Rhinolophus ferrumequinum: one gene and its partners. The protein of the gene in region 1 interacts with the protein of each later gene in a pairwise test. Links are inferred from orthologs where the notes say so. Each region holds a gene or a part of one and is shown on either strand. Other genes may lie near its edges.

Evidence for each region.
Region 2: the proteins of HSPD1 (region 1) and SAMD3 interact in binary tests that used the Homo sapiens proteins (3 or more experiments, as listed by UniProt). The two-hybrid records come from large-scale screens. The link is inferred for Rhinolophus ferrumequinum from reciprocal best matches to the Homo sapiens genes HSPD1 and SAMD3.
Region 3: the proteins of HSPD1 (region 1) and TMCC2 interact in a two-hybrid assay, tested with the Homo sapiens proteins (2 studies listed by BioGRID). The two-hybrid records come from large-scale screens. The link is inferred for Rhinolophus ferrumequinum from reciprocal best matches to the Homo sapiens genes HSPD1 and TMCC2.

What each region holds. Positions count from the first base shown.
Region 1 is NC_046291.1:33,113,428-33,120,505, reverse strand, and holds the start of HSPD1 (60 kDa heat shock protein, mitochondrial), read right to left. Parts: upstream 3,106-7,078; 5' UTR 2,948-3,105; intron 2,045-2,947; 5' UTR 2,043-2,044; coding exon 1,869-2,042; intron 742-1,868; coding exon 489-741; intron 1-488. Other genes in the region: MOB4 (MOB-like protein phocein), read left to right, coding at 3,597-3,599, 4,221-4,385, 5,386-5,475, 5,558-5,603. UniProt on the Homo sapiens protein: Chaperonin implicated in mitochondrial protein import and macromolecular assembly. Together with Hsp10, facilitates the correct folding of imported proteins.
Region 2 is NC_046286.1:77,949,231-77,957,272, forward strand, and holds the start of SAMD3 (sterile alpha motif domain-containing protein 3), read right to left. Parts: upstream 3,069-8,042; 5' UTR 3,014-3,068; coding exon 2,935-3,013; intron 1,973-2,934; coding exon 1,783-1,972; intron 1-1,782.
Region 3 is NC_046305.1:25,953,540-25,961,118, forward strand, and holds the start of TMCC2 (transmembrane and coiled-coil domains protein 2), read right to left. Parts: upstream 3,018-7,579; 5' UTR 2,766-3,017; exon of another isoform or gene 2,634-2,765; 5' UTR 2,541-2,633; coding exon 2,334-2,540; intron 1,997-2,333; exon of another isoform or gene 1,271-1,996; intron 1-1,270.

The DNA of each region.
Region 1 (7,078 bases):
ACCATCTGCTGGGGAGCAGATCTTTACAGAAATAAACAAAATGCAGAACAATAACATAGTATGTGCTATTATGAGGTAAGAAAAAAGTGCTTTAAAAAAACAAAAACCGGTTGACATCCTTGGATGACTTAGTTTCTTGTTAAGCCCTACTTTCCGAATAACTAAAGTAAAACATAAAACATCAAAACCATATAATCTTTCTGCTTTAATCCCCACAAGTTTCCTATTTTCAAGATACACAGTATATGCTGTATCTTCCAATAAACTGTTGGCTTTCAGGGGGAGGGTCTAGAGGAGTTGGGGGGGACTGGCAACAGGGAATGTCTTAGTCACTTTTCTCTCCTTAACAACATATGTAGCCAGGTATTCAATCATTATATGCTGAAGCAATACTCAACGTTAAGAATTTTTAAGGGAAGAATCAACTTTCTAATATAATTTAATAGACAGTTCAAAACACTGGGGGGACAATGAAAAGACATTCCTACCTCTCCTGATTTCCACTGGATTAGCACCTTTACTAATCTTCTCAAAGCCTTCCTTGGCAATAGAGCGTGCCAGTACAGTAGCAGTTGTGGTGCCATCCCCAGCCTCTTCATTTGTATTATTGGCAACATCCTGAACAAGTTTAGCGCCAATATTTTTATATTTATCTTTTAAGTCAATCGACTTTGCAACGGTCACACCATCTTTTGTAACTTTGGGACTCCCCCAACTCTGTTCAATAATCACTGTTCTTCCCTACAATTTCAGAGAAAAAAAAATGTGACAGAATCACACACTCAAAGTACTAGTTAGCTTAAAACAGAAAGAGCAGTTTTAATAATAGGGTAATTACTTGAAAGCCTCAACATGATTTTTTTTTTTTTAAATCAGATCTGCAGCATGAATCTCAAGGGCAAGTTCACTGATGTTCTAAGTTTACAGAAAAAATGACCTCTCTATTGCGAAGGGCACAACTCTGGATGAAGAATTATGTGAGATAAAAAAACCTAGAGACTAAAAGATGACATTTTATGAAACAAGAATACAGATAAAACAATACCAATTTGGTAGATTATAATGAAATTCCAGCTTATTCTTCACATAATTTCTAGTTAAGTTTTATCCAGTGTCAGCTATTTTGAAATTAATGCGAACACTTACTTTTAAACTTGCTTTGAAATATACTTATTAAAATACTAACAGCAATGCAAGCACAGTACTCTCTTCCAGGGTTGTTCGACATTAAATCTCAAACATGGTGCAGAGTATTGGCAGCTTTTGGATTTGAAACCAAGTAGCTATTTGGGAGGCATGCAAATGCCACATTTTATACAATTTGGATCACTTTGATATCTGAAATGTGCACAACCTTTGTCTTCCTCAAATTATTACCTTTCAACTCACCAATCTCTTCATGTTAAATGAGACTTAAAATTTTAAATGTGCTTTGGAACAGAAGGGACAGCAGAAAAACACTGGTAAAACTAGCACCTCCTGAGATATTATAGGAGATAAATTATATTCTTCCCTCTATGCTTGGTACTAACGGACTGGAGAAGAATCCAAAAGTTAACTCAAGTAGGCAAGCAAGATTAATTCTACCTTGAGTTTAAGGATCCACCTTGAGTTATGAGTTACCACTGGATTCTACGACACATTGTATAAAATCTCACAAATTTGGCAGAAGTTTAAGTTTTAAGGCCATTATATATACGCAAAAGAAAAAAAGATTAACCCATAATGTGGAACTCACATGTAAATTGGATTCTCTCAAAAAAGGATACCCACGTACTGTTCTATAGTTCAGTGTGACTATTTGCCATCAGTAAGTTATTCCCTAATTAGAGTACTATTATAAATTACAACAATAACAATACTGATACCTTTGGCCCCATAGTAACGGCTACAGCATCGGCTAAAAGGTCCACACCTTGAAGCATTAAGGCTCGGGCATCTGCACCAAACTTTACATCTTTGGCATACGCCCGAGTGAGATGAGGTGCCAGTGCCCTGGACACTGGCCTAATCTGGCGAAGGACTTCGTGTAATCGAAGCATTTCTGGGGAGGAGGAGAAACAAGCATTTATCATCAGTACAATAGTAGCATTACCCGAAGCAGGTTACAACACCTGTGCAACAGAACAAGAAATGTTAGCCGTGAGCTAGGTTGGCCTCTGCCACCCACCAAACCTGGGCCACAGAAGGCGCCCCAACTACAGACCACCAAGTACCAGCGCAAGCTTGCAAGGGCTGCCCCCACGCCTGACCTACCGCACTGGCAAAAGGCACACCCACCTTCTTGCTCCTGGCCACCTACCCCTGCCTCTCTAAACAAGTTAATCTTTTACCGCTAAAAGGGCCTTCAGAGCAAACCCATTCCAAACGTGCCCCTGAGAAAAGCCTGCAAGAAAGGGGCAGGTCATAAAAACGGTGGCCGGTGGAGTAAAAACATTCCTGACGGTGCAAAAATCTGCTGAGTAAAATGTGTCTTCATGTATCCAGTCGGGGTTACTGTATCTGAGCAGTCCGCCAGGCCCCGATGCTGGCGGCCGGGGCCCCACGTGTCTTTTCATCGAGACGCCCCGAGCAAGGTCAAGGGTGGAGGGGCCGAACCCCGCTGGGCCAAAGGCAGTCTCCACGCGGCTGGGACTACCTTCCCCGAATCTCTGCAGCCGGCCAGGAGTGGGCTGCATCGGAGGGCCCATGTGAATACACTCCCCAAATTCCACACACACTCCTGAGCAAGCCCTCCCTCCTACGCCCTGCCCCGGCGAGCGATCCCTGCCGCACGTGACGGGCTCCCGCATGGATCCGCGAGGCCTGGGCCAGCGGGCCATGGCCTCCGGCACTGGCGGGAAACTCGGGCTCTATCCCGCCGGCCCACTCAGGCAGGACCGCAGCGGGGGAAGGCCGGCGCCGGGTCCGAGGCGCCTGGGTGACATGATGCGGGGAGGCCGCATACCTGCGGGGCAGCAGCACGACGTGCGAGCGGCAAGGAAAGCCGTCGGCGGCGAGTGAGGGACAGAGTACAGGGCGCACACGGCAATGAGCTTGTGTCCCCTCCCTCCGCCGCTCCCCCGCCCCGCGGCACAGCGTGTGCGGGCGCCTCCCACCTCTTTCCCAGGCCCGGCCCGGCAATCAGCACGCGCTGCGCGCCAGCTCCGCCCCTCCCTCCCCGCGCCGGGCCGGGCCAGCGGGCTCAGCCCTCTCGAGCCGGCTTAAGCTAGTTCCCGGGCTACGCTCGGTTCCAGAACTTTCCGGGGAGCGACGCACTCTCTGTGGGTCAAGGGTCAAATAGCGTCATTTCCGGGAGGAGGCGAAGGGCTAGTACTTTCACCTCCGCAGGCGGCCTAGAAAAGCCTAGAAAGAGCTCCTCTTTTCTTCCGTCTCCCGGTCGTTGCGTCAGTGGCCTGCGCAGAGCCCCCGGGGACGAATCGCGGCGCGGGCCGCGGCGGCCGCCCTCTTTTAAGGGGAGGGGCGGGTGGCTGGAGCGAGCGCGCCTGCGCCCTGGGCAGCCTTTTCTAAAGTTCACGTGTCTCGAAAACCGGACTGCAGGTCTCTCCTTGCGGCCGCGGCGCGAGAGCAGAGTACGAACTGCTGCTGCCGGAGTCATGGTGAGTCCGCGTGGGCTGGTGCCTGGCGTGCCCGGATGGATCGGCCTGAGACAGTTCGCGTTGGGCCTAGTAGGAGGGATAGGGGGTCACCCAGGGGTCGGTATCCGCTCGAACCCTGGAGAAGCCAGGTCCTGTCGACCTTTTCCTCTGCCGAGGGTTCTTTGCACGCGCGTGTGCGGCGGGCGTGTAGGCTAGGGGGCGGGAACCCAGATGCACGCGCGGTGGCGGACCCGCTGTTCCTGCAGGGCCTGTGTAATGTAAAGAAAGCATGGCTTTAGGCGGAGAGATTGACCTCAGTGTGTGCTGAACATTTTCAGAAAAACCTAAGGAAGGAAAATACGTGACCTTGGAATAAGCTAAGGTTGACTGTAAAGCTCGTCTGGCTGCTGACCAGAGGAGTAACAATGACCCTTAACACACATAGGGAATTGGAAATTGACTTGGAATATAGAGCAGAAAGTTCAGAACGTTCAGTGGGTTTCGTGAACGAGTAATTGAGTTGGGCCGTTATCTTGGAAAGCCACATGCGGTGTTTGATAGCGTAATTTACGATGGCATTGCCTGTTCAGAATATAATCGCATATTCTTTTTGTTTCAAATCAAACATTTCTCTCTCTACAGGCAGGACAGGCATTTAGAAAGTTTCTCCCCCTCTTTGACCGAGTATTAGTTGAAAGGAGTGCTGCAGAAACTGTAACCAAGGGAGGCATTATGCTTCCAGAAAAATCTCAAGGAAAAGTATTGCAAGCAACAGTAGTAGCTGTTGGATCCGGCTCTAAAGGAAAGGTAAATGGGGGCTAAAATGAACTATTTTTTATGTGAAATGGACAGAAAAATAATTATTGGTTATTATTAAAAATAGCTTTTTAAGTAGCTTATTTTATTTTCACGATCATTCCCTAGTTCAATCACGTCTAATTGTCTCTTTAATGAAAATGATTGTAAAATTGCTTATTTTATATGATAGAGAATTCGAGGATATTAAAACTACAATTTATGCTTGAAGATAATTGTGGCGGCTTTTAAGAATTGAGGGGAAATTTGAATTCTTGGTCTAACTTCTAACTCTGAGATTGTGCTAGTCTTTTAACTACTTTCACCTTGCTTGGCATACCTATGAAAGGAACTGGTTGGACTACCCTCCCATATACTTTCCAATTAACTGGTTAGATCTCAGACCTCAAAGTGTCAGGCAGAATACACAATAAAATGTTGGGGTCAAATATGTTAATTGCTCCAGGTGCCTCAGAGAAACTTCTAGAAAGGAGCTATCCTGGAATCAAAAATAGAAAGCTTTTGGGGATTGGGCACAGTGCTTCCATCCCTCTCCCCAAATCTGTATTTTGGAGGAAAGGAAATGGAATCTCCAAAGAAGTATGTTTCAAATTCAGGAAATTTGAAAAAAAAAATTTGTATGCTGAAGTTAACCATGACCATGTACACATGGTTTTAAAAACTAGTTTATTTTACATAGTCCATAGGTTATGTTAATATTTAACCATTAAAAAATTAGCTTAAGTTAACTTGGCTTAAGTTAGCTTTCCCAGTATAACTCCTTGAACTTTTACACTGAAATCAGGTTTCAGTTTAAGCCACTGTGTAGGCATTATTTCAAAATGTAACTCTACAGTGATATTTTTGAGTTAAGAACTACAATTGTATAAATTATAACACTACCAAGTTCTTTAACAGTTGATTTGAGTGAGTACATTTGATTAATAGAAGTTAGCTGTAAATATTTGGTGAACTAGATGTCTTTGCTAATAAATATTCTTAATTTCTTAAGGGCGGAGAGATTCAACCAGTTAGCGTGAAAGTTGGAGATAAAGTTCTTCTTCCAGAATATGGAGGCACCAAAGTAGTTATAGATGACAAGGTGTGTAAACTTAATAGTTTTAAAAAAAAGTTAAGTATTTGCTTTTGTCTTTATTCTTAACTAACGGTTTCTCTATTTGCAGGACTATTTCTTGTTTAGAGATGGTGACATTCTTGGAAAGTATGTAGACTGAAATAAATCACTACTGACATGGCATCACGTGAAGCTGCCCATTCCACTGAAGTTCTGAAATCTCATCATGTAAATAATTTCCATGTCTCTTTTGTAATAAACTAATAATATCCAAAGTAATGACATCTAGTGTCTCTTAAAATTTAGTTCCACTGTACTGATACAAACATTTCCAAATAAAAATATACAAATAAATGGTTAATTTTTATTTAGTGATTTAAGATGGTTTTAGGGTTCTCTAGTTTATACTTTTTTGCTTTTTCTCAAGTAACCTGCAGCAAATTCTGGGAAACAAGGCTTTAATTTTCACACTGAATTTAGGTTGACTCCATAGGTAATTGATGCTGATACAAAGCCATGGATTTACACTTACTTTTTTTTTTTTTTTTTGAGAAGCAACAAGGAAATGAGATCCAAAAGAATAGCTGTAGCTGTTGAAGCTCTTGATGTAAGAAACAACCAAACCTGTAGAGAATTTTTGTAAGTGTTTTATTAGAGCCAAATTGATGACGTACACTTGGGAGCAAGATCTCAAATGTTCCCCACATGGTTAGTTTGCAGTTCCTTTTAGGCATTTGAGATTAAGGTGGGAACTGAGGAAGATTACATAAGGTGGGAGAAAGCAAGCTTTGGATTACAAGATAGTTAAGACTGCTCTCTTGAGGGTGGTCCACTTTAGAAGGGGGGGGGTCTGAAGAGAGGCATTTCAAAGATGTGTACCTACCTAGATGCATAGAAACAATGGACTGGGCTTGTTTAAAGATTAACCTTCTACTAAAGAAGATACATGCCTCAGACATGACTACTCACTATGGCCTGCCCAGTTAGGAATTTATGATTAGATCACTGTGAGGTTACTTTTAATAGAACCCCTTTTTTCATCCACAAAGCTACTCTACACTGCTTCAGATAAAAACCCACATAGTGTTCAATTAGGTGAAGGAAAGGTATTTATGAGAAAGGGAAGGGGAACAACTAACTGCATGAAAAGGGAATTTCTATAGGTGCGGATAAGCTAACAGTGATGCTAATTCTAAAGAATGTTCAGTCTGGCAGTCATGTCTGCTTTCTTGATAGCTTTGCAAACAGTTGTTTGGAATGCAGTGCTGCTTTAGGCTCAGTACAAAGGTTATTTTGCCCAGTTTTAACATTCCAAAGGTTTGAGGAGTAAGACTTCCAAAGCAGTTCCACTGGGGTGGCAGCTCGGACTTCAAAAAGTACTAGCTGTGTTTGTTATTTTTCACAATGTTACAGTACAATGCAAGTTGGTGGGAAGGGCATTGTTCCACACAATCATTTAGGGTCCCAGACTCCATCTTGGAGTCCGCTCCACAGAGTCAAAGGAAGTGTTTATGGTCCAGGTCTAGAGATGGAGCACTTCATTCCTCACTAGTGTTGATCAGGAAGTTCTAGACTGATTGGTTTAAAATTCTACTCTTGGGTGGTTGAATCATGACAACATCTCAAAGGT
Region 2 (8,042 bases), on another chromosome or scaffold:
CTATTATCATGATTCCCTCATGACAATATACTTGTCAAGTGAAAATATATTTGACAATAAACAAATATAACCAATAAGCCCACCTGTAATTGTGGTTTTATACCAGAACAATCCTTAAAATGAGTCAGCTACTTACTGGGTAGAGTGAAAAACCCTCCCTCATAAATTGCTGGACAACCATTGTTCCAAGTCTTGGCTACATTTGAAAATAGCTTTCTTAATCAGGTTAACGAAGCTTAATATTTAATAAGAGACTATTTTGGTCTGGGAGAAGGAGAAGAGATTTTGTTAAAGATTGTGATACTCCTAACATTAGTGTGAATTAACATGGAGTTAGGTACTGTATTACTTTTCACAAGCTACAGATGAAGCAGCAGGAATGTCAACATTTAACATAATCAATCCACGTCAGTGGTAGAACCAGGAACGCAGCCCAGATTTCTTGGCAGTCCAGCTAGTTCTCTTGTACTAGAGAACATTATAAACTGCTTTGCAGTGGCAACAAGACGGTCTGTTTTCTTCTAAGTTATGCTTAAGGCCATATCAAGATTCTACTCAACTGAAGAGAACTTCAGCTCAAAAGTCCGATTCATCCAAGACTTTTGGGAAGTTACTTTGAGCTTCGTTGAGGTTCATATCCTCCCTTTGCTGGAAAGGAGTAAAAACATGCAATGGGAACTTCACCAACAGTCACATATTGAAGAGTGTGCTTTTGTATATGTATGTCAAAACACTGTTTAGGAGAAATCCTTCAAACAAATCGGATGTATCATCTCCAGACTAACCATGGACCATCCCTTCAAGTCTACCTGCCCCGTCCAAGTCCCATACATCCAAATATTCTAGAAATCAAATTACTTAAGCCAGGTCTCTCTAATATTATGTTCTTTATCAGAGAGCAAGACAGAAATATATATATTATTACAGACGTAATCTGAAAAAAAAATACATAGAATAGATTTCATCAAACCTCACAATCGTATTTTTAAGATTAATGAACAATTATTCTTCAGCAATTATTTAACCTTAGAAAAATTGCAAAAGTCTAGAATATGGAATAACCAAATCAGAACGCCTGGACTGATCCTGGGGCATAGATATGTAAAGTGAATATTGAAATTTTATAATTCCTGTTATCATTGCAAAAGTCAGTGGTAAAAAAACAAACAAATGAAAACATCCCTAAACCTCAAAGCGACCACAAATTTTTCTACATGACTTTTGTGGGATGCTATCATAGCGTTCAGTATTCTGAGAATACTCTCGAGAAATTTGAAAACCCATTATATCAAGAGTCTTTAGCAAATGATACTGTGAAGACCTGCAGCAAATTATAATGTGAAGGCCTCTAGAGGAGAATACAAATTAGTTATTATAAGGAATCCTTGGCAAATAAACACATACATAAATACAATAAGAGTTTAGGGAAAAGCAAAAGAGCAGCAAAAATGCCTTTCCCAAATCCTGATTTTAAGACCAAACTGAAGAAATCCATTCCTACTCAGGTTGTATGTACATTTCAACTGCTTGTTACAGAAGTTTCTACATAGGAACTCCAGGCTTATAGGACTACCCTAACAATTGGCATCACTGTTTACAAAGCGGTGCATTAAAAATACATATCGCGATTCATAAATCTTTGCAAGAAATGTTCCTTATGCAGATGTTAGAAACACTGTACACACAGTCTAGCTGATAATTGTCACACTTTTCTAATGTCATGGTATAGCCATGATTGGGAAAGCACAGCAACAAAGATAAGGCACTCGTGAAACGACTTACTCTGGGGCTGCTGCTGCTTGCGTGAGCAGGGCTGGTTCTTGAGGGCTTCCAGGAAACTTCAGTCCTTGACTCTTCTGCTTATATTTTTTAATTAAACCCATCAGAACTGCCTGGTGCCCAATTTTTTTTACCAATTGCTGAACCATCCGATCATTAAGTGCTAGAAGGGCGGCCCCACTTACTTCTTCCTCTGGGAAAATGAAAGAAAAAAGAGTCTCTACGTGCCTGTCTGGCTAAAGCATTGCAAAACACAGCACTCTGAGCAAGAAAAAAATATTTCTGGTGTAACAAGGACCATCTAAACTTATCCTCTGATGTTATATAATTATCTGTATTTTTGACAAAGATAGAACACTGATATTGCCTAGTTCTAAATCGATATCTGCTCCGAAGAAAAAAACTAGAATATGGAGTCACAATAAAATCTTATTACTTCCACATTATTTCCATCCCTCGCCCTTCAGATTCTTTCTTACTGGCATCATTTTTTATACGGAAAAAAAAAATTCTCAAGAAATTATTCTTAACAACACCTCCCAGGCAATACTCACTACTTGGAAATCCAGCACTGCACAAAACACATGCTTCATTATTTAAGGACAAAAGTAGTATCAAATGATAAGAAATATGTATTTTAAGTAACTCTTTTTTTTTTAAATTTATTTTTAATTTATTGGGGTGACAATTGTTAGTAAAATTACATAGATTTCAGGTGTGCAATTCTGTATCACATCATCCATAAATCACACTGTGTGTTCACCACCCAGAGTCAGCTCCCCTTCCATCACCATACATTTGATCCCCCTCACCCTCCTCCCCCACCCCCCAACCCCTTTACCTTCTGGTAACCACCAAATTACGTTCCCCAGATTAATTTTCAAAACCGTGGCCATCCTGTGGTCACCGACTGCCCTCCAATCCCCTCACCCTCCCCCCCCTTAAGACTTTACTTTATTTGAGTTCTTTTTGAAATATATTCTCCTGTCGATACTAGGCCAAATGCAGACTCTGCCAGTCGGTCAAGAAATGCAAGTTCCCCACTGCAGCAGCTCCACACTCACAGGCATTAGGCACCAAAAGCAATTACCAATAACAAAGGACACTCAATAACTGGCAGCTCAATTAACATTTTAAAAAGTATAAACAACTCACCTTGAAACCTATGAACTAGTTCTCCTAAGTTTTTCTCCACCAACCAACTGCAGACCTGATCAACTGACCAAGCTTCCATTGCTGTATCCTGTAAATAAATACACCTGTAGAAGAGAAAGATTCTTCAGTTTTCTTTCTGATTTTTGTTTTATTTTATTTGATATTTTTACCAGTCAGTTCTTTAATCTCATCTCTTTCCTTTAGCAAATTCTTTTAAACTCTCAATACTAAGCTTCTTTAAAATTACTATTTTCTGAATACACATCTAAAAATTGCTAGCAGAACAAATACTCTCTTTAAAAATGAGACCGATTTGAACCTATTTCCTAGTCTCATTTCTCAAATTTCTCCACCTTCCCCTACTTTTTTGTCCACAGGCATCCCTTAGCTTTACTAACAGACAGCCAGAGATGTACAATGGTACCCAATCCTGTACCATTAACACCCAGGTTTCTTCACAAAGAAAAGAAAGGTGTGAAATTCACCACTACTAGGCTCATCAGGAAGTGGTTGACATTTACAAAAGGGGTAGGCAGGGGAGGAAGGGAGGAAGCAGCAGATAAAAGCCTGACAGAGACACTCAGTAAACCAAGACTGGTTAACCCCTTGGTGCTGCTCAGCCAAGAGACAGAGCTGGTAGCTGCTTCTGATTACTTTGGGTTAGCAAGAGGAGGAAGCAGGAGCCAGATTTTTCAAATGTCTCTGAATCTTTCTTTCCTTCCTTCCAATAATACTCTTATATATTCCATTCAGTTCTAGAACTTTATTGAGCACCATTATAGCTGGTAAGATAACTGGGAAACACTAGCACGTTGATTGAAAACATTTTATAAAAAATTTATTTGGGCAGATTCAAAATGGGAAAATAATTAACTATGTTAATCATAAGTGAAAGACATGCATTCAGAGTTTAAAGTATTTTTTAATTATTCAGTTGTTTTTGTATGCTACCACTCATCTATAATCACTTAGAAATTTTAAAACAAGCATACCAGTTTCAATAATTTTTTCCTACTTCCTTGAGGCAGCTCATTCTGTGCGTGTGTGTGTGTGTGTGTGTGTGTGTGTGTGTTTATAATTCAACCCAAATTACTTTTTGGATGGGGGAGAAACTGAAAAATCGTAAAACATTTTAATCTTTTAATATTACTTTCGATTTCATCTTTCAACCAAGATGATGTAGATTTACTTGTATAGTGAGACACTGACTCTTTTATAAAGACGGGAAAGCGACTCTTGGAGAAATGGAATCATACCGAAAGATAAAAAAATATTAGATCATGTATTTAAATTTTTTTGCTAGAAGTTCTCAAAATAAATTTTGTATTTTTCATTTCTTTGTATTTGAATAAGTGGACAATTTCCAACATCACAAGAGTGGTGGAAAGGGAAAACATATTTACCTTTCATACTTGACAAGTTGAAAAGAGAACAGCCTTCAAAAATCATTTCCTATAAAACAAGTGTACTTCAAAGTAATAAGCCACATTCTCATAAGTATTCACAAAAACCAAGTTGCAAAATTGAAAACAAGGGTTAAGTACAGAAGAATGCCTTTCTGAATTACAGCAGTGGATTTAATTTGCTAAGACAACAATAGCCACAGAACTCCTCCCTTAGGCTAAGTAAGCAGCTAGAGCAGGGTGTGAAAAGTCATTATTTGCTCGACTCTGCTGTAAATTAAAAATCACACCTCCCTGTCACACTTCTGGCTTCCTTGTGAAGAGTGGGACGTAGAAAGAAAAAAAAACACCCGAAAACAATTCTCTAAACTCCAAGATTAAAAGGTATGCAGAGCATAAGATACTTCCCTGCAGCCATCAAATGATAAAAGGAAATTTGAAAATAAAATGAGTACTTGGAAACCCTCTCATGTTTTAATTCCCAGATTATTACCTAATTCTACTTCTGGGAAAAACAAAACAGCTATCAAGTTTTAACCTCATACAAACACAGTAAGATTTTTTTTTTTTTTTTTTGAATACTACAGTTTTGAGACAGTCCAAGATGGTGGAAAAAAAAAAAGACTACAGTTTTTGCCCACTTGTTTTTCTGAGTATTTAAGAAAATAAAATACTATCACTGCCTAGATAATATAAGATCTTTAAATGGCAACCTTACAACGTCCTCTCCCATACAGAATGGAGAGATTATTTATGATTTTATACATAAAGGAATAAAAGATATGTCAAATGAGAAAAGATATATCCAGCAGCTTTGCTGCATGTCCAGAAGTTGCAGAAATATCTGAAAAGATTTTGAAATGTGAAGACAAGTACTATCACTAAATATTTTAAGACACAATAATACAAAAAGAATAAAAATAATAACAGCATGTGTGACTACTCCAGCCAAACTAGTCTCATTATTTGATCAAATTATACTTCAATTTAAAAAAGTTTATATTAAATATTAAGGGATCTCATCTAATTAAAGCCAGGAAGAGCTAAAACTTCAGCTAATGCAACCAAAATGTGGGCAACTTTTATTTAATAAATTTGTGAAAACTCCAAAGGAAGGTAATAGTGCAAATTGCTATGAGTGTGGTTTATAATCTTCAAGAGCGATGTAGCATATAAAAACATCAACCACAAAAAAGCACTTTTTAAGAAAATATGAAAACATTTTGTCACTTTTCTTTCTGTTTGCATTTTTGTTTTTAAATCCCCAGAGTCTCCAAGCTAAGACAACAAAAGATTTTCAAAAGCTTTGCTGGTGGCTTATGCCCTCTCCTGGATCAACGGCTCATTCTGCCCTGGGAAAAGGAACGGCTGTACTTGAAGGAACAAGCCTAGGGATGTGACTGTCGCATGGAGCAGTGTCCAGGCCATCCTGTTGGGTAGAACCTTGCTCCAAAATGAAGCCATGACATCATTGTACTCCAGTGGAGCCAAACATTGCGTCCACTTTGTGCCATTGTTCATTCCAGTCATCACCAGATCAGGAGGAATGAAAACTGGAATAGTCAACTAGAACCCCTGCCTACCTGAAGTCATCAAAAGGGTCACTGCCTAGAGAGCTCAGAGCGAGGTAAATGGGATACACCAAAGAAGTGAGAAGCCTGACCAAGAAGATAAGACACCTCCATAAGCAGAGTATAACGTAAAGTCAGTTATGATGGGTGCCATAAAAAGCCCTATGAGCTGGATTTTCCCACTCACCTGGAAATGAAGGAACCTTGATTTGGAATCTGACTGAAAGATATAGTTTAGATAGTGAAGGAGCCAGAGGAAGTGGAGCCAATAGAATGAACTGAAAATTAAAAAGCCAGAAATAAACGAGGTTTTGGGATGCGAAAGTGGACCGTACTGCCTGGAATGGTGAACACCTGGTGGAAGACCTGTCTGAAAGATCACTGGAGAGCCTGGAATACTGAGTTCACAGTTTATAGATATACTTATGCTTGGGACAGTCACTAAGCTGACTGTATATTTCATAATTTAGTGAGATTTTTTTTTTATGCAGTTGTATCAGATAAATTACAGAAAAGGGTGTTCTTTCGTAAAGTACATTATAATATGTATGAGAAGGAAGGGTTTATCTCAGACATTCTCACAACGGCACACAGAAACATGCAACAATAATGAACACCACTCAGCAAGACACCGCCACACGTCCACACGAACACAGCAGTGAGACACTGATATACCAAGGCTATGAAACCTTACCGAGCTGTTTGTACAGTGCTGCCAATGTAAGCGCATGGTGGCAAGTTTGAGAACTTAATTGTCAGACTTAGTAAGATACAAAGAAAAATATTTAAACCTTGTACTGTATATGTTTTAATATAGTTAAGACTATCGTATAGTTATTTTTATTTTTTACTTCTATTATTTCTCCTGGTATCAAAAGAACTTCCCCATGTCATTCAACTTTTTAAAACATAATTTTTAATAGATAGCCTTCCCATTTCTGGAGGTATAATTTATTTACCCCAAGTGTTGAGTGTTTGAATTGCTTCTGGTTTTGTGTGTATGTGTGGGTATAGTTATTAAAAATAATGCTACTGAGACAGGTTAGTTAGTATGGTTGCTCGGTAGACGGGGAGGTCCCTAGTGGAATAAACAAAAAAGCAGCCATATCCTGAAACTCCAGGCCCTGGAATGTCTCCTTCACTCCGGGACAGAGACATGAGAATACACCTTAAGGTTAATAGATAACCTCAAATCCCTTCTGGCCGGACAAAGGAGCAGATCTGATAGGAATGGGCTGGTTCATTAATCCCTGGGAGGATGAGCAAACAGGACAAACCTAATAGATGAATTCTATTAGAAGGCTCCAGCCCCCTACCCCAAGCAGGCAAGGGAAAGTATAAAAGTAAAAGCCTTTTGCCTCAGTCACCGGCACCCCCATTCGGGAACCCCTCCCACTCGGGAGCTGCAACCTTCTCTCCTGCCTCTCGTAAACTATCCTCTTTTTACAACTTTTTGCCTCACCCTGGTCCATGTGTCCATTCTTTGGCTTCACAAGACACGATCCCGGCCCGCACCCAGAAACTGCCAGCAGATCCTGCATCATTTACATCATTTGGGGACTCACAGAAAAATATTCCTACTTCACTACAGTGAGCGTCTTTGTTCATAGATGATAGATAGTTCAAGAATTATTTCCTTTACCAATCAGGATTGTTCACTTAGAGGTATAAACAATTATAAAGGTTTTGATTTTTTTTGCCAAAATGCTTTCTGGAAGGAATATCCCCCAAACTCTCTTACATACCAACTAGCACTGAACAATAGAAATTTTATCGCTAATGGAAATGTTTTGTATCTGCATTGTCCAATTTATTAGTCCCTAGCCACATTATAATTATTAAGCATTTGAAATGTGGTTAATGTGGCTGAGAAAATAAATGTTTGATTTTATTTAATTTTAATTAATTTAAATTTAAATTTTGGACAGCACAGGTAAACAGTTTCTGTGTCACTAATCTCTTGGCCAGGAGGCACTTATCAGCATCCCCCCATAGCCTCTCAGGTGTAACCACCACAGCTGGGAAAGGCCTACGTCCACTGCCCAGGAGCTTTCTTTAGCAAGCAGATGCCTGGGGCAAGCTGGAAATGGAACAGTCTTAACAATGGACTGATAGGATTGGGTGTCCCGATACT
Region 3 (7,579 bases), on another chromosome or scaffold:
TGAAAACAAAAGCAAGCCAGAACTGCTGGTCCTACCTAGGCCAAACACACGTGTGGGGTGGGGAGGTGTTAAAAATTAAATTTGCTCCTTTTTGGTACAACCATCAAGTCTAAAACAGGGGTGATAGCTTCTGCCCAGTGCTAGAGCCAATGACTGAATTTTTCCATCACTAGCAAACTGTGCCAAACACTGGAAAACAACTTTTCCAGCATTAGAGAACATGTTCAGACATACTTCAATATTCCTAGTCCCTTTCCCCAGAAAAAGGCTCAGAAAAGTTGAGTAATTTGCCTGAGATCACACAGCAAATCAAGTTGCGATAGCCCCTAAGCTCATGTCTTGTTCTGAAGTCCATACCCTGTAAACATGTGAGAAAGCTGACAGAGATAAACGGGAAAAGCCCCCCCAGTCTCCCGGTGCTTCCACTGAGCAGGCAGCAGCTATGTTTTTTCCATTTAGCTGCCATCCTGGGTCAACATAGCAGTGATCAACCTTGGTGGTATGTTTTCTTGGGAGTGGGGGGTATGACTCCTTTTCTCAAACCTGGTCTTAATTCTGGTTCAGGGAAGTTCAGTATTTAATATCAAGCGTAGAGTTGTTGCTGTAACTGCCACAACCAGAATGAAGGTGTCACCAGAGAGAGAGACAGAGGTATGATATAGGGTGGAGGGGAATGAGCTTCTTCAAGCAGCTTTATCTACACAGACAGACACTGCAGCCCCCACTCCACAACCAGCTCACCTATCCTCATGAAGGGAACCGAACTGGGAAAATGAATGGAGCTGGCAGTTTACTAGAGCTGTCATAAGAGCTGGAGCATGAGGAGTTTCCAAGGCTGCCCCTCATGGACTCAGAGCGAGGGTCCCATCTGGTCAAGAAATCAGGGTTTTCTGGCCAGACTCAACTGAATCAACCCAGAATGAAGCTGAAGTCTGCAGCAGAAGGCTGGCCCCTACCCACATCAGCATTAAGGACACCCCTGTCCCTTTACCATCTCATTTAAAATAGGACCCACACCTGAGCACACAGGGTGGGCTCAGGGGTGACAGCTGGGCCAAGTGTCCTGTTACAGCCTAGCCAGCAGAGCTCATCTTTAGACATAAGGCTAGTCTCGAACCTCTGAAAAGGGCAGCAGCAGAACCAGAGGTCACATTTGAATAACTACTACAATTTTTTAAAGTACGCACAAAGAGTTAACTGTCCCCCTTCTCACCTCTCCCCAAGGAACACAAACAGGTAACACACACACACAGGTTAAGAGCACACTCACCTGCGCTCTGACTTCCTGACTCTGAGCCGCTCAGGCCAAATGAGGAATGTCATTGGCTTATTCTGGTGAGCTCCTTAGTGGCTGCTGCTATAGGATACAGGCTTTATTTAACATAACAGAGTTCTTTGCTCCCCTAGCAAGACCTTGCACCCCCTCTGGAGAAAATCTCTCTGAGGCATCAATTTCCAGGGTATCTAAGTTCCTTCCTCCGGCTGACATCATGTCGCTCAAGCTGGTGGGGAGCTGGCTTGAGAAGCCTGAGCGTGCAGTCCCTGTGGCAGCTCCAGCAAAGGTGCATTATTTATCCCAGCTGCTGTTTTAATTAATATAGAGACATATTCAATACAGCTCCATAATAGTCCCGGCAACCTCAGGCCAGGAAATAAACAACTCCCAGCTGCCTGTGATAGGCTCTTTCCGCTTCTGGTTCTAACTGCCGGCTCAGCATGTGTGCAACTTGAACCGAGGCCCCAAACCAGCCCAAGCACCAATCGGCCACCTGTCAGTTCTCCACCCTGGGGGTTGGTTCCGCAGGCAGGCAGGGATCTTCAAGCACTGGCTTAATCTCTGGCTCCACCTAACGGCAAGAAATCCACACTCCCCTTTCACAGATGGACAAACTGAGCTTCATCCAGGAAGGTCCCAAAAGGAGGAAACTAAAACAGCAAAGGAAACTAATGGTCCTCTGCTTGGCCTTCCACGCTGTCATTTTCTTCTCCTATCATCCTACAAGAGGGAAAGTGATGTCAACTTTTTAGTTAGCTTCTTGGATTTCTCCAGCCCTTTGTCTGAGAATAGTACTTCACACACATCATTCAAACAATCTCGGATGGGTGAGTCACTAGAATGTCTGCTGAATAATGAGGAATAAACAGAGGCCTGAAATGGAGCTGAACGACAGAGGCACAAATGGTACCTGACGTCCAGCCCAGTGTTCTGGCCCAACATCCTCTCTGACCTTTGCCTGGCTTCCCCATCACTTGTATCCTGTTAAAGCACTTCTGCGTTGAGCGGGAAAAGCTAAGTCACTGGCTAGGCTGGCCAGGGGAGGGTCTGTGCTCACCTTTAAATCCGGAGGCTTGCTTCGGGGACCCGGGTTTGGCGCCACCGCAGCGCCCATGTCCGAAGTTGGCCCGCCAGCAGAGTTAGCACCCGTGGCCTCCCCAGGCCGGAGTTCCGCGCCCGGCAGGTGGCAAACGGCATCTTCCAGGCCAGCTCCATCCTCCTCGCCTTGCTGTTGCTGCAGCTCATCCGATTTGCACCTCTTCATGATGTATGTGGGGCGGCCAGGGGATTCTGCCCTTCTAGAGCGCTGTCCTCGGGGAGACCGCACCCCCTTACACTCAAAAACGAGGCCCAGGGTCTAAATGATTAACGAGGAAAGGAATCGGCGGAAGACAATTTCTTGAATTAAAAAATAAATCTTTTTAAAGAAGGGGGAGGAAGGGGCGAGGAGGGGGAGCGTTGGTTACAGCTTGGAATAGTTCATTACGACCTGGGGAGCGAAGGCAGGGCACAGCCGAGGCTGGGCAGCAGGAGTCCTTGGGCAGTCATTGGAGCGGGAGGAGGAGGACGGTCCCTGGCCCCCGAACTTTCTGCTTCAGGGCATAGGCAGGACGGGGGAGCCTGGAGGCACAGCGCATCCCTCCGGGTTGCCCGGGCTCTGGGCGAGGCAGGGCAGGGGGCAGCCGGCCGGGCAGGTCCTCCGCGGCCGCCCTCAGCGCCGGCTGCGGCCCCCGGCCCTGCCCCTGGCCCCCGCCCCGCATGGGCCGGTCGCAGAGTCCGCCGCGAGCCCGGCCCCCTAGCTCCCCGCCCGCGCCCGGATCCCTGCGCCCAGCTCCCCACCCGCGCTCTGCCTGCTGCAAAGCAGCGGTCGCGGCCCCAGCCAGCGGCAAGCGCAACCTAACATGCCGGTAAGGGGAAGGCGAGGCAAGGAGGGAGTGACAACGGCAGTGGGCCAATGGGAAGCCCAGAGGGCCGAGGGGGCGTCGCGCGGCCACGTTTTAGGGTTGGTTGCGCCGCGTGAGCCCCCAGGAGAGGACTGGAGGACTGTGCTGCTGCGTGTTTGCGCTGCGGAGAGCGGCTGCCGAGTTGAGGCGGGGGCGGCGGGCCACCCGGGACCGGTATTAACAGATGCCGGAGGGACCCTCCCGGTAAAGGCACTCTCCGGATATCCTCCACCCACTCGTTTTATTTGGTGGGTAGGGGGCTCAGTAGGGATGCTTTCTCATCACTGCTTTTTTTGCTCTAACTTTTCAGTTCATGTTATACTATACATCCCTTCAATGAGGAAGACCCCATCCTTTCTAGGAAACATGGTCTGAAACACAAACTTTTGGCTATATTCAGCGCTACAAATGCAAAGGGTGGAGGTGTTCTTCTGCCCCATCTCTCCTTTCCCCACTTTAAGTAACTCCAGTATGAATCTTAGCTTGATGCTCAGAAATGACAAATTAAATATATTTGAATACAATAATGTGTGTGAAAGTTCCTTGCAAACTGTGAAGCAGCTCTTAAATAAGAAAGGGTATTAAATGGCAGGAGATTGAGACATATGACAGAGAAGGAAAAGAATGCAATCTCTTTTTCCCATAAATCTCAGCCAAATTGCACTGAGTAATCTGGAGGCAGAAGAGAACAAATACTGGGGTTATCAAAGTATGGAGCCTAATAATAACAACCCCCCCTGAGTGCCTACTGTATGCTTACTGGGGATAGGAGTTTTTGCCCATCCAGCAGCCTAAAACAGTGGTTCTCAAAGTGTGGTCCTGGGGCCAGCAGCATCAGCATCACCTGGAAACTTGATAGAAATGCAAATTATCAGACACCAGCCAGACCTACTGAATCAGAAATTGTAGGCCCAGAAATCTGTTTTAACAAGTCGTGCAGGTGATTCTGACACAAGCTAACATTTGAGAACCATTGGCCTAGACTGTAGTGAAGGAGCCATTAGTCAGTGAGTCACACAGTGATGATCTCTACAGCATTTTACAGTTTACCTATCTCTTTTACACCCATCATGCTATTCTAACCTCACTTCAGTCCTACTAGTCTGTGAGTTTCCTGACTCTGTTCTGTCTTTTTCCCATTCCAACCACTCATTTTGATGTGTATCCTAAAAGAGCCTAAATTGTTAAGAATTTACTTCAGTCAAGCAAGCTACTTTCTAAACTAGGCAGCTCCATTTTTAGAAGATGGGAATTGAAGATGGGCTGGAAATGTAGAACCACCCCCCACATCCACTACACAGTGTTAGACACAATGTAGAAACACAAGATATGAGCCTTAGCACTTTCAGTGGTGAGGGAAAGGCAGAATGCCTTGAAGAAGGAGGCAGAACTAGACAGAACCAGTGGGGGCAGATTCCCAGGTTGCAAGATGTCAGACAGGTGTCTGCTGCCTGACTGGCCTTGAGAAGTGGAGGAGCCCCACAGACTCCAGGCGAGTCTTGGGTATCAAGCAGTGGCCAGCAATGGTGAGCACATGTTTATGACCTGCCTCTAAGCTGAAAAAAGTGGAGGAAATCGGTGTGAAGATTTAAGGAAGTGGAGACCATTAAATTTTGACTTATGCCTCATTTCTATACTAGACTGAAGTTGGCCTCAAGTTTGGTTTTTATATTATGTATATATAGCATGATGGCCAAATTTCCTATTTGTGGCCATATTTAGCAAGGTATAATACAGGTCAATAAAATGTCTGTGGTGTGTTTCATGAAATCAGGTAATACTTTACATTCCATTTAGGAGAGGCAGACTCTCGTGGCCAGACTGCTAGGGACAAATCCTGGCTCTGCTCTCTACTGACCATTGGAGGCAAGTTGTCTAACCTCTTTATGCCCAAGATTCCTTATTTGGAAGTGGGAATACTGATGATACCTTAGACAACCTTAGAGGGTGTTGAGTAACATATGTAAGGTACTTAGACATTGCCTGGCACAGAATGAGGGCCATACCTATAATCAGAGATGTCATCCAGTTTCAAAAGCATCACACATTCCACTCCAATGGTTCTATCCTTGGGAATTCATTTAAATGTATCTCACCCATTACTGACTTTAACTGAGTGTCATATTATAGAACAAATTGCTGAGGAATTTGGGTGGGAAGTATATAGAGTTTGAAGCTGAGAGCACATTTTCATTAGCCATAGTAAATTCTTGAGTACCTAAGATAAACAGAATCTGAAAGGACTTTGGTTGAAATGTTGTTTAAAGGATCTGATCATTCTATTGTTTTAGGCTTCTTTGGAAAAATATAGGCACATACTATGTTTTGATGTTCAAGATAGGACAAAACGTTGCAGATTTACAATGCAAGAGATTACATTTGGTATGTAGGAGTAGGATTTTCCATTCTGCTTTGGCACCACTAGTTAATTACAAATAAATAACATGGTGCAGTAAGAAGGACACTGGTCTTGGGGTTAGAAATACATGTAAGAATTATGGTTCTGTTACTCCCTGTGTGTTCTTGGGCAACGAAATCACTCAACTTCTCTCACCCTTGGTTTTCTCATCTATAAGCGGGACTAATATTACCTATCCTCACATAGTTATTGTAAGGATTAAACTAGATAATGCATGTGAAAATGCTTGACGCATAGTGTGTGTGCCCAGTACACTTGAATGAAACAAAGTTAGTGAACAAACGTGTCTAACCCCCTGTCTGCCACATGAGAAAGGCAGAATTGTCCTACTAAACTTAATGCTATTTGTGGAAGGAAATCCCAGTTAGGCTAATGAAAGGGGGCACACCTGGTGGTATCAAATTTGTTAAACCAGTAAATTGTATAAACAAGGAAGGCAAAGATCAGGGTTGTGGAATCCTGTTCCCTTGTCAACAGCCAGTTCATTTAGCTTGATAAACTGATTAAGTTTTAATAATAGAGGATAAGTTGCCAAGATCAACAGGTAAGCAAGGAGTAGGTTTTGGGTTGTTGTTGTTTTGTAAAAGCAATTAAGTCTGAGAAATAAAAGCCTTCCTTTTGCCAATAGTAAGAGGCTTGTAAATTATCCAAGAAAATTGTTTCCTACTTTGTAGGAATTCTTAAAAAAAATTTTAAACATCAAATGAGTAGGTAGTTTTCAAAGAACTATTTTAACATACTACGTAGAGTGTTTTCCTTAGAAGGTGAAAGCACTCTCTAGAGAGACTAGATATAATAATTTGGATCACTGTATTTTGATACCAACATCATTAAATATACTCCTTTGTTAATGTGATTTTCCTCCCTTTCTTTTGGAGATTTCCACTTCCACTCAATGCTCTCCTTAAAAGAAATTGCGTTCTGCTGGATTAGGAGGAATAAACTATGCAAATAATCGTCAGGGAGATTGGTTAGATTGTTGATGATGTCACAATCCCACCACCAAAATACAGGCTTTTTATTGGCTATTGTAAGAGGCAGGCAGGACTGGGAGGGCTCTCCTTCACTCCTGAGTTGGAGCTAGCTCTGAGACTAAACAAATTTTATCCTGTTGTTTGCTTAAAATGTACTCAGAAGCATTTTTCATGTTATTACATTTTTCCATGTTACTCCATTTGCTACAACTTGGTCATATTTCCATTTTAAATGACTGTTTATCATTCTATCAGGTGAATATACCACAGTTTATTTAACCTCTAGCCACCTTATCCTTAGAGAATTGTTTCAATTTTTTGACTTCAGAAATAAAACTGTAATTACTATTTTTATTCAGAAATTGTATATATTATTCCTCCACAGCATAGAATCTCTGGTACCTGTCAATGTTTTAAAGGACTAAACGAAACAAACAAAGTGCCCCTCTAGTGACCATTTCTCTCACAACATCCCTAAGACCTGCATAGGAGACCCCAGGGTCTGTCTGACTCCGCACTGGTGAATCTCCTATTTGTACTACAAAAAGCTGGAAGTTCCTGCTTCTCATTTCAGGTAGGGTGCGTATTCCTCATTCTGCATGCTGTTCCTCCTCGGTAATCGGAGAAAAGTCACAATCATCGTGACCACGAACAGAGGAGGTTTGTGAGGCATAAACTTAAACCCTGATTGTACTGCTCTGTGTGAAAGCCTGGGGCTGCTAAAATGGCTGCTTTGTGTCCTTTCCCATCTGCATAGGGAATCCTTACAAACCTCTGGACAATCTGTTACTCAAAGCTAAAAATGCTAGACCTAAAAAAAATAAGAAAGAAGAGGAAAGAAAGCAAAAAAGAAAGAAAGAAAATAGCTTTGCTCAGAGAGAATCAGTTGTTTATTATTTTACTTCTGAAGATAAATATCAGTGTCAGTTCCATCTATTATTCTATATGGCACTTTTAGCTATAATAA